Linked DNA regions of Rattus norvegicus. The protein of the gene in region 2 purifies or fractionates together with the protein of the main gene of each other region. This does not show direct contact. Links are inferred from orthologs where the notes say so. Each region holds a gene or a part of one and is shown on either strand. Other genes may lie near its edges. The genes, in order: Snrnp70 and Gemin4.

Region 1 (3,824 bases), on a different chromosome or scaffold from region 2:
AAATAGTTACTGAGGCTAAGAGCACTTGTGGCTCTTGCTGAAATCCAAGCTCCATTCCTACCTTCCACAGGACAGCTAACAACAGTATGTATGTATAACTCTGGTTCCAGACTGAGGTCACTGTGCGCACTTGTTATACACACATGCAAGAAAACCTTAACAACAACAACAACAACAACAACAACAACAACAACAACAACAAAAACAAAAAAAAACAAAAAAAAAAGAAGAGAGGCCTATTTGGAATAGTTAGTCCCTGTCTTAACAAACAAATAAAAAAAGTCTGTGAAGGGGTTGAGGATTTAGCTCAGTGGTAGAGCCCTTGCCTAGGAAGCGCAAGGCCCTGGGTTCGGTCCCCAGCTCCGAAAAAAAGAACCAAAAAAAAAAGAAAAAAAAGTCTGTGATCTGTAGCTTAGTTGGTAGTAATAACCTAAAAATGCATGAAGCCCTGTATTCAACCCCTAAAACATCAAAATTGAAGGTCATGAAGGTCATCTTCTCTATATAATGAACTCAAGGCCAGCCTAGACTCTGTGGGACAATCTTAAGAGCCAGGGAGAGGGCTGAGTTTGATCTCCAGGATTCATACCAAGGAAGAAAACCCATCTGAAGTGGCTCCACACATGCCAATCCTCTCCTCCTTCCCACTGCAATAAGGCAGTGCAGAGAACCCAAGATGTCCCCTCACATCTACATGGCAGCTCAGTCATAGGAATTCTAGATCCAATGCCTTCTGGCCTTCACGGGCACTGCACTCATGTGAATACGAATACATACAGGCAGTCAGGAATACGAAGAAATGGGTCAGTGGTTAAGAGCACTTGATGGTCTTGCAGCGGACACGGCTTGCTTCCCACCACTCACATGGTGGCTTATGACCCTGTGTAACCCGTTCCAGAAAACTTAGCAACCTATTCTGGACTTCTTGTGCACCAGTCACCAGTGTAGTAATACACTCAGATACAAGCAGGCAAAGGACACCCATATACGTAAAACAAAGAATTCTTAAGTCTATAACGCAGCAATTATACAGGGACTAGGGATATAGTTTCAGGTACAATGCTTGCTTAGCATATACACCTCTGCCCTGGGCTTAAGCCCTAGTCCTGGGGGCAGAAGAGAACAAATAACTAATTTAAGAGGTCTTGGGCAATAATTTGCATTAAGTTTTAGGCAAGTACAAACTGTAAAATTCCAACCAACTTACCACCCAAACACAGCCTAACCCCATAATGGGCTGACTTAACCTTAATCGACTGACTGCACATACACCAACTTACAGCAGGCTGAACACTGCAGAGCTGGTCTTCAAATCCACAAGGCCTCACCATTTCCAATGTTACTTGACATTAAAGCTATACTAAAGGAAATAAACCCAGGCCCAGAATGATGTTCCTAGGCAGGGAACCCAGCCGCCTTCTTCTCTTCAGGCCACTGCTCCCTCCTCCAAGTACCCCCACCTCAACCCTCTACCTGGACACACTTACTCTTTTGATGGGTCCGTACACCTCAAACTCTCTTCGCAGCTTAGATTCTGTTGTGTCATAGTTCTACAAGACATAAAGCTAAGTTAAGTGGAAGAAGCACATTGTTCCAAAGCCCTTGAACCACTCAGAACTAGACCCAAATTCTCAGTAGCCTAGGATACCCAGGACAGGAACTGGGTACTTACCACTCTAGCCACGAACAGAGTCTTGAAGGCATCGCCCTGAGCATTGGGATCATTGTGAGGGTCCCCTGTACAAAGAGAAGATCATTTTGAAGTAGACAGTGCCCACAGTTTTGGATAGAGGAGCAATGGATGGGAAGAGGCCGAGTACATGAAGATGGAACCTAGGCACCCCCGACCCCGAGAGAAAAGCTGAGTGTGATTTAGTAAGCTCGAGTACACCCCGTTTCAGGACTGGTTTCACTAAAGTTCAATGGTCTTTTTCTAGAGTGATTGACAGATGATGATAACAGTCTCCTGGGATAGCAAAAACATCAAACAGGATGTGGAAGACCTAAAAGTCACTTCACAACTATATACTTTGGCTAGCCATTCCCAGTGCAAGGTGAACTGAGCATTACCCAAGGCTGTGGGATCTCACTGGAGGAATGGCTTGAGCTAGCTTGTGACAGACTGCAACCACAGCAAAGGAGCAAACCTGGTACCAAACAGTCTCAGACCTCAGACTACAGAACCAGAGTCCAGGATAGGTGGGGTCAGTCTGGGCTACGAAATGAGACCCTGTCTCAAAAAGGAAGATAGTTAAGGATAGGTTTTCTCCTCCATTCCCTAGCCCTGAGGCAGGGACCCTGGGCTAGTGCTAAAAGCAAATGACCAGGAACTTCCAAGACACTGTTCCATTTGGACAAGAATTAAGTCTCCAGAAAAAAACCAAGAATCTATTAACCAATCTTTATGGGGTGTGGGGTGCTAGAAGCTGCACCCCTGTGCTGAACATTCTGTGCCCATCTTATCAGCCACCCTGGCTCTCTCATTCTTACAATCCTTAGAATGTAGCTAGAACTGCTAAATAAAGAGGTCATAGAAGAGATAAAAACACAGTTTGGGGAAAAGGTGAATGCTAAGAATTTGAGGCCAGTCTGAGCTACAGAAAGCAATGCTCTTTAAAAAAAAAAATCAAAATAAAGGGGGTTGGGGGTTGGAGAGATGGCTCAGCAGCTAGCTGTCATTCCAAAGATCTTCCTGAGTTCAATTTCCAGCAACCACATGGTGGGTCACAACCATCTGTAATGGGATCTTCTAGTGTATATAAATAAATCTTAAAAAACTTAAAGATCTTCGTCCTTCTCAGGATCATAGCAATTTGGAAGAACACAAGGCATGTCTAGGGCCTTTAAGCAGGAAAGCAGGGCTATTTCTTCTGCCTGCCTATGCTTAAGCAGTCCAGACAAATGGTCTTTGTTACAAATTGTGTTTCTCATATTGACAGATCACAGGCATTAATATTTTGCAAGCTTCTTCAGTTATCAGTTGTGACTTTCCCACCAACAGGCAAACTAGATCCAAAGAATCAGCCATGGTGGTAGTCCTTTTGATCATTAAGGGCATGGTCATGGGCTGGAGAGATGGCTCGGCGGTTAAGAGCACGCGACTACTCTTCCAGAGGTCCTGAGTTCAATTCCCAGCAACCACATGGTGGCTCACAACCATCTGTAAAGAGATCCGATGCACTCTTCTGGTGTGTCTGAGGACAGCTACAGTGTACTTATATATAATAAATGAATAAAAAAAAAAAGGGCATGGTCATAACAAAAGAGGGCTCTTCAAAACTTAAGGCTTTCAACTGCACCTCCACTCAAGAGATGCCCCTCAACATTGCTGACCTCATCCCACTACCTGTCCCTAGGCAGGGTTAATCCTAGGGTGCTGAAAATTGGGAGGAGTAAAGAAAAAAGGAGTCAGGTTGGTGAGATGGCTCAGTGGTTAAGAGCACTGACTGCTCTTCCAGAGGTCCTGAGTTCAATTCCCAGCAACCACATGGTGGCTTACAACCACCTGTAATGAGACCTGATGCCCTCTTCTGGTGAGTCTGAAGACAGCTACAGTGCACTCATACATAAAGCAAATCTTTAAAAAAGTTTTATTTTTAAAAAAGAAAAGGAATCAGTGATGATTCTTGTCCCCTTTTCCTTTCTCTTTGACAGCCAGTGCCTAAATGTGCATATGTGTCAAGGTTGAACTTCTTAGGACTCCCTTGTCAGGACCCTAACACAGAACTAGACTACAGGAAGCCTTACAGCTAGAAAACTTCACTAGGCTTTCCATTAGTTGCTGTGAAACCTGAAACGCCCCCTCTTTATAAGATACTCTACAA
Region 2 (2,578 bases):
AATCCCCTGTGGTTTCACAGGATTCATCAGGCAGCTCACCAGCTCCAGAAACTGCTTCTCTTCTTTGGGTGTAGAGAACTTGGTCCACACAGTTTCTTTGAGGCAGGACACCATGAAACTGGTATATGGATTTGGCCCTTGTTCTTCTGTGAACTTCAGGGCAGGGAAGGCAGTGAGAATCTGAGCCAAAAACCTATGTGTGCCAAGGTTGGTCACAGCGAGGCTACACATCTTCTTCACCACAACTTCTGGGTTCAGGATCACCAGGTGGGCCACAGAGGCCACAGCTTTAGCCAGGCCCTGTTCAGAGGTGCTCTGTGCGAGTTGGTTAAACGTTGTATTGAGATCTTCCTGAAAACCCTCCAAGTAATTAGACAACCTGTCTGAGAGGCCCTTTGGCCCCAAATAATGCAGGACACCAGAAAGGACTTTATTTTTATCTGGTAGAGAGAGGTCTTCATAGCATTCCAGAGTCAAGCAGATTACCTGCTTGATGTGAGTCTGGGGGATAACCCTATTAGAGTTTATGACTTCCATCACTGTTTCCAGCAGACTCAAGACCAAGTCTGGTTCTCTGAAGAGACACCTGTTGTTAACCAGGCAGGCAACCCACTCGTCTGAAAAGGCCCACTTCTTCTCAGAGGCAAAAATGTAGCACATCTCCATGTACCGGTCCATCTTCTGTTCAATGATGGCCATAGCAATGGAGGCAGTGATGTCCTCAAGGCCCTTGTCGTTCAGCATTCTGCTGGTTTTCCTCAGGAAGTCCCTGACACACTTAGCCAGTTCTAAGACCACCTCCCTCTCCTCCTTGGGCAGGCTGGCAGTATCCAGGTAGAGCTCCAAATTCTGGCTGAAGGAAGTCAGACTGTCACACAGCCGGTAGGTGTCATAATTTGTCCCCTGACTGCTGTTGAGCATGTCCTGTAGTTCTGTACCCCACTCCTGCAGCAGGTTGTACATAAGCTCAAACCCCATGAAAACAGTCTCACTGGGGAGTTTAGCCAGTGAGGTGAGACTCACGTCCCGCTCTGCCTCCTTTACCTTGTCTGCCAGGGCCTGTTGATGGTATGGGTTCTGGGTGTCTGAATTCCACACAGAGATCACCGTCGCTAGTTTGTCTAGGTACACAGTGGCAGACACCTCCTGGGTGTCATCCTCCATCAATGCAAACACGCTCAGCATGTCAGCCAAGTTAGCTAATGCACAGCACTTCATTCCAAGGGACAGGATTCTCTTTTGGATCTGCTTCAGCCCGTTAAGCAGCATAGCCAAAAGTGGCATGGTGGGACCTACATCTGGGTCAGACTTAAACCTCTTCGGAGGATGGGAAAACTCATCTGAGGATGGCAAGTATTTATGGGCCATCGTCCTGAACTGGGAAAGCAAGGGGTCCTGTTCATCACCCTTGTGCTTCATCATTTCCCACCAGACATCTAGGAAGAAAGCCACATCCTTGGAAGAAGTGTCAATAGTCATGTGCTCCAGAAAGCTCTGTAGTTCTGAGCGGCCGATGGTGGTAGGCAGGGCCATTAGGAGCTGAATGAAGAGTCCAGAAGCTTCCAGGGACTTAAGCAGCTCAAAAAGGACTGTGTGGTTGATGGTAGGGATCATGTTGCCCACGGAAAAGAATACATCTTCCTGCCACCGAGTATCAGTGTCAGAAGGGCTGACAGGGGAGGGCTGAAGAACCTTGGCCCAGATGATGATTAATGCTTTCTTCTTCCAGGCAAATGGCTGGGAATGTGCTGTGGCTGAGGAGATCTCCTTCAAGGCCTCTACAATGGGCTGTCCCACGTGTTCCCAATCAGACTTTGTCAACTGTTCCAGGGCTTTGGGGTGGAATAGCTGTTCAGCCATCAAGAAGCCCCCATGCAGAATAGTCATTTCCTCACAGATATTCAAGGGTCCTGCACAGAGAAGCCAAGAGTTAATGAAGTTTTTGGAATAGTGAGAGAAGCTAGGAGAAACAGCCGTCAGATGGTTATCATTATCAAGAAGACCTTGACATCAGCAGGGGAGGAAGGTTAGTAAGAGCTCCAAAAGGGCTGGGGTCACCTGGACTTGGCTGAGGAACAAAAACTGGTTTCCAAGATATCTGGCCTGGATATCAGGACAATGGTACCTCTCTGGAAATAGGAGGCAGAGAGGGATTCAGAATAGGCTTTCAAGTATTTTAAAAAATATTTTAATTATGTGTTTGTATTTGTGGGGGTTTATACTTATGAATGCAATCTCCACAGAGGCCAGAAGAGGATGCTGGATCCTCTGGAGCTGGAGTTACGGGTCATTGAGCCTGCTGGTGTGGCTGCTGGGAACTCAACTCTAGTCTACAAGAAACAAATCTGCTCTTAACCTCAGGCAGGACAAGCTTCAAGTTCTGGTTACCTGGAGTCTGAGGTAGAACATTTAGTGATGTCCTTCAGCAAAGGCAATGAGTTAAGGAGAAAAGGCCTGATATGAGTATAGGCAGTGCCAACACAGAGAAGTCCATAAAAATTAAGGAAGTGACTAAGATCCCTCAGCAAAGTGTTAAGAGGACAACTGGCTGCTGAGTTAACAGTGGGTAGATTAGGAG

The links.
Region 1: the proteins of Gemin4 (region 2) and Snrnp70 purify together in Homo sapiens (affinity purification with mass spectrometry; 5 studies listed by BioGRID and IntAct, counting the BioPlex papers as one, with this or other methods). This does not show direct contact. The link is inferred for Rattus norvegicus from reciprocal best matches to the Homo sapiens genes GEMIN4 and SNRNP70.

The regions. Positions count from the first base shown.
Region 1 is NC_086019.1:105,002,605-105,006,428, forward strand, and holds part of Snrnp70 (U1 small nuclear ribonucleoprotein 70 kDa), read right to left. Parts: intron 1,738-3,824; coding exon 1,673-1,737; intron 1,551-1,672; coding exon 1,488-1,550; intron 1-1,487. UniProt on the Homo sapiens protein: Component of the spliceosomal U1 snRNP, which is essential for recognition of the pre-mRNA 5' splice-site and the subsequent assembly of the spliceosome. SNRNP70 binds to the loop I region of U1-snRNA.
Region 2 is NC_086028.1:61,566,099-61,568,676, forward strand, and holds part of Gemin4 (gem-associated protein 4), read right to left. Parts: intron 1,911-2,578; coding exon 1-1,910. UniProt on the Homo sapiens protein: The SMN complex catalyzes the assembly of small nuclear ribonucleoproteins (snRNPs), the building blocks of the spliceosome, and thereby plays an important role in the splicing of cellular pre-mRNAs.